Linked DNA regions of Canis lupus familiaris. The protein of the gene in region 1 interacts with the protein of each later gene in a pairwise test. Links are inferred from orthologs where the notes say so. Each region holds a gene or a part of one and is shown in the gene's direction. Other genes may lie near its edges. The genes, in order: GOLGA1, ATF4 and PDCL2.

Region 1 (4,442 bases):
TGGCCCAGTGAAACTTTATATCTTTGTATCAGCTTTTAAAAAAAGAAGAAACTCTGGGGAAAACGGAGCAAGAGTTGGAGGCACGAACCAGAGAACTGAGTCACACCCGGGAGGAGTTGATGACCTCCAGTCAGATGTTATCAGACTTGAGCCAGAAGTTGGAAGAATTGCAGAGACACTGCTCAGCGCTGGAAGAGCAGAGGTTCTTGCTTGGTCTGTGGGGCCCATGGGAAGCGGTGTTAGTGTAGCCCTAGCTATAGCTTGCCTGCCTTTCCCCACTGCTCTTTGCAGCACTTTCTTTTTCTTTCTTTCTTTTTTTTTTTTTAAGATTTATTTATTTATTTATTATTTATTTATTTATTTATTTATTTATTTATTTATGATAGAGAGAGAGAGAGAGGCAGAGACACAGGAGGAGGGAGAAGCAGGCTTCATGCTGGGAGCCTGATGTGGGACTTCATCCCGGGACTCCAGGATCACGCCCTGGGCCAAAGGCAGGCGCCAAACCGCTAAGCCACCCAGGGATCCCCTTTTTTTTTTTTTTTTTTTTTTTTTTGAAAGATTTTATTTATTTATTCGTAGAGACACAGAGAGAGAGAGGCAGAGACACAGGCCGAGAGAGAAGTGGGCTCCATGCAGGGAGCCCGACATGGGGCTTGATCCCAGGTCTCCAGGATCACGCCCTGGGCCACAGGCAGCGCTAAACTGCTGTGCCACCGGGGCTGCCCTCTTTGCAACACTTTCTGATCTGAGTTCTGGCCCAGGGCTTGGGACCCTCTACTCCCACCACCCAACACCTTCACTCCCCTTCACCTGCCTAATCTCAGCTTCCAAACCTGCCAAGCAATTCAGTATGTTTTTGTTCCTAAGTTATTAAATAACCAAGGCAGATTAGGATTTTTTACTTAAACCTGGGTGGAATTTTTCTTTTTTGGCTTCTACTTCAGAAAGATCCAAGGAGTCTTCTCCATTGATAGTCTTCACATGGCTAACATTTGCAGCCCTGACATATAAAGAACCATCTGTATTTTTTCCTGTAGAAGTGTCTCTTAGATAAGATTTCCAAATGTGCTTATTGTCTACTTTCTTTCAATGAAGAGATCACGTGACAGCTTCAAAAACAGGTGCAGAAAATAAGATCTCGGCCCTGGTGCAAAAGGAGCAAGAGCTCCAGGCATTCATTCAGCAGCTTTCCATGGACTTACAGAAGGTAAGTAGAGTACTAGGAGTAGATCCAGGTGGCTAGAGCTTATGGGGTAGAAACTAAATCTGGCAGAAATTTCTGTCTCAGGGTGGCTACTGAAACTTCTGCTTCTCATGCAATGTGGCCCTAGTTCCTGGTGTAGCCCCGCTACATCCTGATGGAAGTGGCCACACAGCTGAACAGAAGAGGTCAGTATTGTCCCGGCAGGAAGTCTCAAAGTACACCATTTGATCTACTCCAGTTTGTCTTAAGTACTTCATGGTGGACCATGAGCATAAGAAGAACAGTCATGGTTGATATGGCTTAATCTGGTGTATTCCAAATGATAATCCTTACAGTTCAACATACATTTATTGCCTTCCTATTATAGGCCTGTGCTAAGTTTTGAGACTATAAAGAAGAATAAAACATTATTATTGACTAGTGTTTCTCAGTGGCATGTTTCTTCTCACCATTTTGAATAGAACAGTTGTCCCTTGCATTGCAGGACATTTAGCTTTCCTGGCCCCTGGGTTCTTAGTGCCAGTAGCACCCTTCAGGCATTGACAGTCCAGCCCTTCCCATCATGTGAAAAAACACCCCCTGGTGGGTGGTACCACCAACTCTACCCTCTTCCCTTGAGAACTGCTAATCTCAACTGCAACAGAGACTTCCTACATCATTACAGTACAGTTAAGATTTGTGTAAATAGAAATCTATATACTCCTTCCTTCTAGGTATTAGCACACACATAGATGCCCAAATGGAGGTTATATACCTCACTCAGAGTTCAGCAGTGAGTGACAAAGCTGGATTCTAGCCCAGGTCTTACTCCAAAACTCATGCTTGTCCTATTGGACTGTGTTGCCTTCCAATAAGGGTCACCCAGTAAATAGATCTCACATATATGAATGACTCTGATACAAGGTCTCTACTCTCAGTGAAGATCTAGACACACACAGTGTTTTCTCAGAGGCTTATAGTTTCATTATAGAACTCAAACCTAACCACAAGAAAACACATTCTTAACAAATCCTAAATAAGTGAAATAGATTTTGTAATGAAAAATATATGCCATAGGGAGAGAGTGTATTTCTAGCATAGGAGTCAAGGAACTCTTCCTGGAGGAACTGGAATTTCAAAGATGGGTAGAGTAACAGGAGGCGGAGAAAGCAGGACACAGAACACATAGGGTGGGGGAAGATAACATACACAAAATTTGGGGATTCAAGGGACCCTTTGATATCAGAACCATCTAACTTACCATGTCATCATTGGAAAAACTAATTTTCTAGCTTGTGGTTATACTAATACGTTCCCTCACTCATTCTAAAAATATGATCAAAGCCTTCCTATGTGCCAGGCTCAGCACTCTTTGCCCAGTGTTAAAAATACTGTGATGAGCAAAACAGATACTGCCCTTGCCTTTGCGGAACTTCTAATCTAGAGGGAAAATCAGATATCAATCAATAATCATGTAAATATACTATTGCAAACCATGATGCATGAAGGAAAACTGCAGGATGTTGTAGGATCCTGTAATGGCATCAGGTTAGATCTAGCCTTGGAGTCAGAGAACAAAGCCCTTGAAGAAGGAACACTTGAGCTGTGGAGGGGGAGAGACAGTGGGAGAGAATTTGAAGCAAGGAATAATGAACAGTACGAACCATAAACCCAGAAACCTTGAGGCAGTAGAAGGATGAGCACATTCAAGGAACTGGAAGAGAAGACACAGAGAATGGACTGGCATAAGGGGAAACATTGGATGGGGTTCCAGTTAGGAAGTTCTTATACCTGTCTTGGCATCAGATGGTGGCTTTGACAAGAGTGGTGGTAAAGATAAGGGGGAAGTAGACATTTACAAAATAATGAGGAGACTGACCCACTCGCTAATGTAATGGATGTAGGAGGGAAGCAAGAGAAAAGGAAGTTTTGGTGATGGTTTCTGAGTTTCTTGATAGCAACTGAGTGGCTGATAGGGTCGGTCATTGGGTTAAGAATATCAAAGGCTGAACAGTTTTATCATGAAGAACATGAGTTTGGAGTCAGGTTTTTTTTGTTGTTGTTGTCCTTATCGTTATTGAATAAATGTAACATTTATAAATATAAGTAGGGTAGAGAGTATAACAAGGCAGTGATCCCCTTGTAGTTAACCCCAGGATGAAAAGAATAATCTATTTATACTTGAAGTTCCCCATGTGCCATTCACTGTTCATCCCATTCCTTTTTCCTTTATAAGGAATCTAGAAACTGTTGTTTCCTTTTTCTTCACTTTATAATTTTACTGTTATTTTATCTCTAAATAGTATGTATCTTCTGTTGTTTCTCATGCTTGTTAAAAATTATATAAATTATGCTATAGGTATTCTTCTAAAACTTACTTTTTGTGCTCAACATTATATTCCCAAAAAACATGCGTTTGTATACATGCAGCTGTATTTTTTTTTCTTTTCTCAACTATATAGTGTGAAGTAACAAAAGTTATTCATCGTATTGACCATCAACATTGAGGTGTTTCTGGACTTTTACTATTACGAACAAGGCTACTGTGAACATTCCTCTACCCGTGCAGGTTACTCTGGGGTATATTTAAGATGTGGAAAGGTTAGGTGTGCCTGGCTGGCTCAGTTGGTGGAGCATGCAACTCTTGATCTCAGGGTTGTGAGTTTGAGCCCCACATCAGGTGTAGAGACTACCTAAAAATAAAATCTCACCCAAAAAAAAAAAAAAAAAAAAAAGATTTGTACTTTTTCAACTTTTCGGCATAATGCCAAGCATTTTTTTTCCCTAGTAGTTGTAGTAATTCACAGTCCCACCAGCCATGTTTGTTCTGCTTCCTTGACAACATGGGATATTATCAGGCATTTATTTTTTGCCAGTCTAGAGAGTATGAAATACTAACATTTTTTAAAAGATTTTATTTATTCATGAGAGACAGAGAGAAGGCAGAGACATAGGCAGAGGGAGAAGCTAGTAAGGCGATGTACTGTATCATACAGATACCACAGTGGCATATGCCCTTCGCAGGGAGCCCGATGTGGGACTCGATCCTGGAACTCTGGGATCATGCCCTGAGCCCAAGGCAGATGCTCAGCTGCTTAGCCACCTGGGTGTCCCCTTTCAGCATGATTCTAATTTGCTTTTCCCAGATTACTACAAAGTGCTACTGTCCTTTCATGCTTATAGGTCATTATTGTTCTGTGAAGTACTCATTCAATTCTCTAGCCCATTTTTCTGCTACATTTTCTTTTTCTCCTTG
Region 2 (4,798 bases), on another chromosome or scaffold:
CAGCTACTAAATAGCAGAGCCAGGATCCTTTGGGGTTTGCTTCTAAAATCTGAGGCCTGACCCATGCCTCCACTGGCAGCTGTGTGGCTTTGGGCCACACACCTCCCATTAGTTCTCAGTTTGACCTTGTAAAGAAATCGTTGGGCTGGCTAGTGAGTGGTCTGTAGTTATCAAGGACAGTGTCCGCCCCCCCCCCCCCCCCCCCAATTTTTGACCTCACAGCCCTCCTACAGTTCTATGGCCCACTAAAACGGAGGCAGAAACTCCAAGGTTTCTGCCCTCCAGGGGCCTGAAGGAGACGGAGGATAGTGGAGACCTTTCCCGGCACTCTTCACAGCTCTCCGGTGGAGAGCAAGTTGCAGGCCTTGACCTGGACCGCCGCTTCCAAACACGAACCTCCAAACCTCCGTGAGTGGGCGTGGGTGCTCAAGATTCTCCCCCCACCAGGTTGCAGAATTGGGAGAGGGACAGATACCAGTTTAACAAAATCTCTTAGGGGAACTGCATCTGTATAAACCAAAAGAAGTTCCCTGTGATAGACTGCATACTTTTAACAGAAACGTTTTGGCAGGCCGGTATGCGAGAGTCACTAACTGGGCTAGATTGTGCACCTTCCCGACCGGACTGGAGAGTTCACGGGAAGGACGCGGCGTTGGCCCCTGACGGTGTGTGGGGAGCGTTTAGAACCCGACTGAGGCCCTCAGTCTCCCCTTTCAGCTACTTCGGTGCTTGCGTGTGATGAAAACGCACCCGAAATTCCACTTCCTTTTGCCTAGTTTCATCTCGGGCCTGAACTTGGGTCTCTAATTCGGAGCTGGACGGAGGGTGGCAGGAAGGGACCACAGGGGCCAGGGCCTGATGTCGCCGTTTGGGACTCCTCGGGCTCCAGAAGCCCGGGGGAGGAGCCAGGGTCGTCTCGGACAGCCTCGCGTACGCCAGGCTCAAGAAGCCACTACAGAGCGGATTCACCGAGACGCGGCCACGGAGGACACAGCCCGGCGGCGGGAACCCCGCTGGCCGCTCCGCCCCTTCCCGCTCGGACCCGGCCTCCCGCTCGGAGCGGCCCGCCCATCCCGGGGTCTGAGCCAATAGGAAACCGAGATATATATGACTCACCATGTCTAACCAATCAGCTCGACGCTCGCTCTCCGCCAGCATCTCGCGCGATAACCAGGCGGCCTCTGACTTCACAATAAAAACCTTCCTTGAGGTGAAAGACTTCTCTCCCCGCCCCCCAGGCTGACGCCGGAAGCGAGGTGTGTCTGAGGAATCCCTCCGCGCTCCCGGCGGCAGAGGGAGGAGAGGCTCTTTGATCTTAGTAGCCTTGCAAAGTAGCGCGCCTTTTTCCTTTCTCGAGACGTTGGAAGTAACAACTCTTCTCTTCACAGCTACGCCGTGGACCTAAAAGTCGCTGGTCGGACACGATAGGGGCGTCGGATCGCGAAGACGGGTGGGTGGGAGGCGCGGGTCACGTGACCGCGGCGGAAGGATGTGCGGTGTGATGCGTCCTCATAGAGGCAAAGTCTATAAAGGACCCTCGATCGGCGCGGCGCGGCCATTTCCCTTCCTCCCGCCTGTAGATGTAGATCCCTGTGGCAAGCGTGCGCCTTCCCTCCTCCAATCCCCCAGGGTCCGCGGCCGCCATGGCGTATTAGAGGCAGCAGTGCCTGCGGCAGCATTGGCCTTTGCAGCGGCGGCAGCAGCACCAGGCTCTGCAGCGGCACCCCCCAGCGGCTTAAGCCATGGCGTAAGTACGGGGCCGCCCGCGCCGTGCTCCCCCGGGTCGGCGAGGGCAGTCGGCCCGCCTGGGCGCGGCCTGCGGCGGGGCGGGGCGGTGCCGCGTAGGGGGAAGCGGCTTTACGAGCGCCCGGGACGCGTGGCCCCTGTTTGGGTGTCCTCGAGACGCCGACGCTTCTGGGTCAGGAGAGTGCGGCCCGGCGGGGAGAAGCGAGCCCTCGGCGGCCCCGGCCCCGGCCGCGGCCCCCGACGGCTTCCCGCCCGGCCCCCCGCGAAACGTGGCAGGGGCCAAGATGGCGGCCGGGCAGGGCGGCGGCGGCGCAGCGTGAGTCACGGGCGGCCGTGGGCGGGGCCGGGCGGCCTGGGCCGTATTTGGACATGAGCCGGGCGCGCCTCCTCCGGCGGCGGGGGGAGGAGCGGCCCGGCCCCGAGGGCGTCCATCTTGGGCGGCCCGACGGGGCCGCGGGGAAGGTGGAAGCCATGGCCCCGGGGCCACGTGTCCCCGAGCCTCTGCTCCCGAGTGGAGTTCCAGTCTGGCCGTCCTGCCCCCGGGAGGAAGGGATGAGCTTCCCGGACCGGCCGATGTCGAAGGGGTTTCGGTTTCTGCTTCCGTTTCAGGCTTTTCACGGCATCCAGCAGCAGCGTTGCTGTAACCGACAAAGACACCTTCGAATTAAGCACATTCCTCGATTCCAGTAAAGTCCCGCGACATGGCCGAGATGAGTTTCCTGAGCAGCGAGGTGTTGGTGGGGGACTTGATGTCCCCCTTCGACCAGTCGGGTTTGGGGGCTGAGGAAAGCCTAGGTCTCTTAGACGACTACCTGGAGGTGGCCAAGCACTTCAAACCTCATGGGTTCTCCAGCGACAAGGCTAAGGCGGGCTCCTCCGAATGGCTGGCTTTGGATGGGTTGGTCAGTGCCTCAGACAACGGCAAGGGTGAGTGGGGGTCGTTGGCCGCCGGGTCTGGTCTCCGGGCTGTTGCTGAAGTGTGCGTCTGACCTCTCGGGTTCCTTCTTGACTCTTTTGCAGAGGATGCCTTCTCCGGGACAGATTGGATGGTGGAGAAAATGGATCTGAAGGAGTTTGATTTTGACACTCTGTTCAGTATAGATGACCTGGAAACCATGCCAGATGAGCTTTTGGCCACGTTGGATGACACGTGTGATCTCTTTGACCCCCTAGTCCAGGAGACTAATAAGGAGCCCCCTCAGATCGTGAACCCAATTGGCCATCTCCCAGAAAGTTTACCAAAAACAGACCAGATTGCCCCCTTTACCTTTCTGCAACCACTTCCACTCTCCCCAGGGGCCCTGTCCTCCACTCCAGATCATTCTTTTAGTTTAGAGCTAGGCAGTGAAGTGGATATCTCTGAAGGAGATAGAAAGTCAGATTCTACTGCTTACATTACCGTGATCCCTCAGTGCATAAAGGAGGAAGATGCCCCCTCAGATAATGACAGTGGCATCTGTATGAGTCCTGAGTCCTATCTTGGGTCCCCCCAGCATAGCCCCTCTACCTCCAGGGGCTCTCCAAATAGGAGCCTGCTGTCTCCAGGTTCCCTCTGTGGTTCTGCCCGCCCCAAACCCTATGACCCTCCTGGAGAGAAGACCGCAAAAGTAAAGGTTGAGAAACTAGATAAGAAACTGAAAAAAATGGAGCAGAACAAGACAGCAGCCACTAGGTACCGCCAGAAGAAGAGGGCAGAGCAGGAAGCCCTCACTGGTGAGTGTAAAGAACTGGAAAAGAAGAACGAGGCTCTGAAGGAGAGGGCAGATTCTTTAGCTAAGGAGATCCAGTATCTGAAAGATTTGATAGAGGAGGTCAGAAAGGCCAGGGAGAAGAAAAGGGTCCCCTAGTTGGGGGTGTCAGGAATGTGTGCTTGTACATAGGCTTGCGCTGAAGCTGTGTTGTAATAAATTATTTTGTAGTGAAAGTACTTGAGCTCGTGTGTACCTGGTTTCTTGTCTTAATCTCTACCCTGGTGATGGTGACCAAGTCAAGTGGAGTTGGCTCAATCCTGTTGGGCTCAGGGCCTCCACAGGAGACTCTGGGGGTGAGGCTGTGGCCTCATAAGCCATAACACTGACTAGTCTTGAGTACCCAGGTAAGGCCCCACCTGGGCATACAAGGTTAAATTCCACTTTGAACTCAAGTTCTGTAAACTCAATCCTGGAACTGCAAAGAAAAGGTCTTTGGGTTTTTCTTGGAATGGACTGTTAAAGGAGTTTTAAAGAGATGCAGAAATTCTTAGCCAGTGCTGGGCTCAAAGGCTGGCAATCTGACCAGAGGAATCCTTGCTGCAATTGGTGTGCAGGGCTAGCTCTCCAGGAAGAGCCAGTCTTGACGTTCATTGGAATGGCGATGGGGACACCCAGTGTGGCACCAGGTAGTGTGAGCTTTTTATGTGCTTTCTCCTGGTCCCTGGGGTAACCCTGTGGGGCATTTCCTCTGGGGAAAGTAGGTATGTGAAGGAACCTATGGCTCTTCACCCATTTGGCCCCTCGAAGAGCTTGGAAAACAAGGCATGTGAGGGTCTGTCTGCAAGGTGGGCCTGTGTTTCCCTGATCTGCTTCCCAATGCCCAGCATAGTAAGTGGGAGAGCCAGCCCCCTGTTGGGATGCAAGCAGCGGTGACCCTGATGGGAACATTGCTCTGGGGTGCTGGAGGGGGTGGACGTCTTCCCTTAAGATTGTAGGATTCCTCACAAGGCCAAGAGCCTCCCACATCTTACCGGGGTCTACCAATCGGTATTAAAATATCACAAGATACTCTGCCTTTAAGCTGAACAGTTAACCAGCCAAATATGGGGATTTACTGGTTAGAAAAACAGCATCCCGGTAGCCGGAGTGGCTCAGCAGTTTAGCACCTGCCTTCAGCCAGGGAGTGATCCTGGAGACTTGGGATCGAGTCCCATGTCGGGCTCCCTGCATGGAGCCTGCTTCTCCCTCTGCCTGTGTTTCTGCTGCTCTATGTGTCTCTCATGAGTAAATAGAATCTTTAAGAAAAAAAAAAAAAGCACCCACTCAGCTATACATGTTAATGTTAGGAAAACCAAGTTCTA
Region 3 (3,962 bases), on another chromosome or scaffold:
TGTCAAAATTGTTTTCAGGCAAACTATCTTCTCCCTGCACATAATCTGTTACACCACACTCTCTTAACTCTACACTTTTCACTATCACCACCAATGTCCACCTACCTGCCATTCACCCCATCTACCCCATAAGTGTCTGTCATTACCACTGATCTAGCTCTCCTTCTGACAGTAATGATGCAATTCCATTAAATTAGGTATTAGTGGATTCATTTTACCTATTTGAGGAAAACTGAAACTTACAAAGGCAATTTACATTGTTGCTTTGTGTGGAAAATTGATATTTATGTTAGGTGGCTCATGCTTTTCTAATATTACAATAGGTCACCCACTAAAATAAAACAGACTCTAGATTTGTAGCAGGTTGTAGTTATCAAAATAAATGGCATTCTATATTTTGAAATGTAAGTTAAACGTATAATGCATTTAATTAGTTTTTCTTAGTTTCTTCCACCATAAATTGATATATAACATCATCTAGTATTAAGAGGATTTCTGAAGATTTTGTAGATGGTGGAGATACAAAGCCATCACTATAGCAGAGAGAGACCCTTTCTGCTATAGATTAAACATAACAATACAGTCTTTTAGGTGCTAGAGTTGAATTTTATATAGTCCTGAAGAAGGGGTAGTCCGTTTTATCCTTGGAGGAAGGAAGTCTGGAACTTTCTACAGAGTATGTAATTCCTGGTCTTGGCCTCAAAAAATAAGATTCCCCAAAGAGGAAGTAGACAGGATGAGGTGGGATGTGTTAGAGTGTACAGCTTAAAGAAAGATTACAGAAATAAGACAGCATCTTGCTTTAAGTAATGTGGTAGCAGACAAAGAGACCACAGAGAACCTTGAAAGCTACACAGAGGAGCCCAGACTTTATCCCAAAGACTGTGAAAAGCCACTTAGGGAGGGACTTTAAGCTTGAGAGCAGGGCAGTTGTTACATGGTGAGATTTTCATGCTGAGCTCCCTTTGTCAGCAAGGGTCAAGGATGAATTTGGGAAACTAAGACTGGAAACAGGTCATTTAGGACAATCTGATGGAGCTCAGTTGAGAAAGGAAAGGAGTAAGATAATGGAGAAAAAGAGGAGAGGTTAGTTAGGTATGAGATAAGGAAGTAGGAGCAACATGATTTGATTACCGATTAGATGTAGAGAAAAGGGAGATTTCTGGCCTCTGTGCCAAACTAAGAAAATACAGAAGAAATGTATAATATATACATATATACTTTTTTTTCTTTAAGGGAGGTGGGGACATGAAGTTCATCAGTGTTTTTTGTTTTGTTTTGTTTTGTTTTTTTAGTTCATCAGTGTTTATATCAGAATGGATAAGATGGCACAGTGAAATGTGTCCAGTATAAGAGAGTCCAGGACACAATCACAAAGAACATCCACATTTGAGTCATAGACAGAAGAAGGAAGTCAAAGAAGTAAAAAGGAAATTAATAGAAAGTGTTATCACAGCAGCTCTTCTTGCCCACGGGTCCTATCCCCGTGCTTTAATAAAACCACCTTTTTTTTTTTTTTTCCCCTGGGGAAAAAAGTGTTATCACAAAAGCCAATAAAAGGGAAAACCTTTCAAGAAAGGAAGTGAACAGAACATAGAGATTATTATTTTCCTTTCTTTTGGGGCTATGAACAAGAGAGAGTGGTTATTTGAAGGAGACATAGAGTTGTAAGTAACTCTTAAAAATTTAGTAACTTAAGTATATTTATAGAAAGTGGAGGAAACAAGAGGGAGAGCAAAATAACAAGCAGAGAAAGGTCCCATGGGAAATGTGTATGGGATAAAGTAAAGGATTGGCTCTGAAACAGTTTGATAAGACTGTGAATGAGTGAGAGAGAAAAGGGACTAATTGAAGAGTGGGTATATTGGGAGTCAAATGATAGCAGGAAGAATTGCAGGTTCTGGTCACACTTCCAATCAATTTTTAAAAAATTTATTAATCTCTCTACCCAACATGAGGTTTGAATTCATGATCCCAAGATCAAGAGTTGCATGTTCTTCCAACTGAGCCAACCAGGTGCCCCTTAAAGATCTGATAGCGAATAGTTCTAGATAATGGGAAATAGGATGCTTCATGGAGTGGGATGTCAAAGAAAAGTGTGGATGAGGTCAAGAAATTCAAGGAAATTTTAGATTAAAAAAAAGAAAGAAATTTGAGATAAGACACTTTGGATGTCATAATCTCATGTAAAAATAAGCCCAAGGTGGTGAAAAGAGTTGGAATCCTTTGTTTCAACTCAGAACTACTAAGGATTCCCTAGAAGTGTCCTGTCTTGTTTTGTTTTCCCTTAGTCCTGTAAACTAGGAACTAACTTGATTAAATTGATGCTAAGTCAGATGTGGTTAGCCTTAGTTATGCATCAAATTCCCATGGTAGCAAGCTTCACTCCCAGGCTATAATTGTGTTTACAATAAATATGGTAGGGCTCTGCAGTTTATCATTACTAAAAGTAAAAAGAGAAGATAAGAGTTTATATGCTGTTATATTAAAAGAATATCCAAAGAGGTGAACCTGGGTGGCTTAGTAGGTTAAGTACTGACTCTTGGTTTCTACCCAGGTCTTGGTCTCATGGGTCCTGGGATAGGGCTCTGTGCTCAGCTGGGAGTTGGCTTGAAGATGCTCTTTCTCTGCCCCTCCCCCTACTTAGCCCCCCCATTAATTAATTAAAAAAAGAATATCTAAAGATGTATTTTTGTCATGTAGATATTTCACTTAGTTCATTAGAGAGAAGTAGTGTGTTTTTAAAGATGTTGTGTACTGTTTCTCTTTTTAGCATCCCAATGTGTTTGTTGGTTAACCAGCATCTTAGTCTCCTAGCAAGAAAGTTTCCGGAAACTAAGTTTGTTAAAGCCATCGTGAACAGCTGTATTCAACACTACCATGACAATTGTCTACCAACAATTTTTGTTTATAAAAACGGTCAGATAGAAGGCAAATTCATTGGAATTATAGAATGTGGAGGGATAAATCTCAAGCTAGAAGGTAATAATACTATTTTAAAAATGTTTATTAAACAGGTGAAAACTTCCAAAAATTTACAAATATCGTGAAAGTTTATCTCCATAAAACATAAGGTATTTTCCCTCCCTTCTAATCTCTTCTTGTAGGCCTCCCGATTAATTTTCCTATAGTAATATGCTTCTTACAACATCTACTTGCTTAAATCCTTAAAGGTTCCTTGTGGTCAAATAAGTTAAAAATACAGAATCTTCTGCTTAAGAATTTCAGCCTACCGATCCAACTGTATTACTGCAGAGACATCTTACTCATTTGTGCCTTTATTCTTGGTCTCATACTCATGCCCTGGACCCTAAATACCCTACCATTCTTTATTGTTCCTCCATATCCTGTTCCTTTGTGGTTCTCCTAGGTTTCCATTTCTCTAATTACGTGACTTTGGACCAATTCATAATCTTCCTCTTCTCTCCTAAATTTCTGTAGCATATTTTCTCTATAAAATTTATTTTTCACTTATCCACATACTATCTGATTTTATCAGTTAATTAATTCCCTTTATTTTCTTTTTCACAGTATGTAGCACAGCACTTTATAATTTTAATTTCTTTAGTAATTTTTATTTCCTGACCTCCTTCCAAGGCCATATCTAGTCATTTCTTGGAACTGCTTTAATCTATATTATTAAAATCTTTTTCTCACACCATGTTAAAGCCATTGAGCCTCATCCTTTTAATTAAACAAATTAATACGCAAGAGTACAAATAATAATATAGCAAACATTTATGTAATCGATTACTGTCGAAAATAACAAATGTGAACATTTCTTCATGTTTGCTTGAGCTATTTGTTTGTTGTTCAAATAAACATTACAGATATAGTTAAAGTTACCTATATTTTCTTCCTAGTCCCATTCCCCTTCCTATCTCTCAGCAGGCAATCATGATCATGAATATTGTGTTATCTGGTCCATGTTTTTTGTGGGTTTTTTGGGTATTTTTGGTATA

The links.
Region 2: the proteins of GOLGA1 (region 1) and ATF4 interact in binary tests that used the Homo sapiens proteins (3 or more experiments, as listed by UniProt). The two-hybrid records come from large-scale screens. The link is inferred for Canis lupus familiaris from reciprocal best matches to the Homo sapiens genes GOLGA1 and ATF4.
Region 3: the proteins of GOLGA1 (region 1) and PDCL2 interact in a two-hybrid assay, tested with the Homo sapiens proteins (2 studies listed by BioGRID). The two-hybrid records come from large-scale screens. The link is inferred for Canis lupus familiaris from reciprocal best matches to the Homo sapiens genes GOLGA1 and PDCL2.

The regions. Positions count from the first base shown.
Region 1 is NC_049230.1:58,190,763-58,195,204, forward strand, and holds part of GOLGA1 (golgin subfamily A member 1), read left to right. Parts: intron 1-32; coding exon 33-202; intron 203-1,098; coding exon 1,099-1,210; intron 1,211-4,442. UniProt on the Homo sapiens protein: Involved in vesicular trafficking at the Golgi apparatus level. Involved in endosome-to-Golgi trafficking. Mechanistically, captures transport vesicles arriving from endosomes via the protein TBC1D23.
Region 2 is NC_049231.1:26,489,103-26,493,900, reverse strand, and holds ATF4 (cyclic AMP-dependent transcription factor ATF-4), read left to right. Parts: upstream 1-1,533; 5' UTR 1,534-1,747; intron 1,748-2,355; 5' UTR 2,356-2,447; coding exon 2,448-2,673; intron 2,674-2,766; coding exon 2,767-3,593; 3' UTR 3,594-3,678; downstream 3,679-4,798. UniProt on the Homo sapiens protein: Transcription factor that binds the cAMP response element (CRE) (consensus: 5'-GTGACGT[AC][AG]-3') and displays two biological functions, as regulator of metabolic and redox processes under normal cellular conditions, and as master transcription factor during integrated stress response (ISR).
Region 3 is NC_049234.1:48,597,551-48,601,512, reverse strand, and holds part of PDCL2 (phosducin-like protein 2), read left to right. Parts: intron 1-2,773; coding exon 2,774-2,982; intron 2,983-3,962. UniProt on the Homo sapiens protein: Essential for male fertility, spermiogenesis and acrosome formation.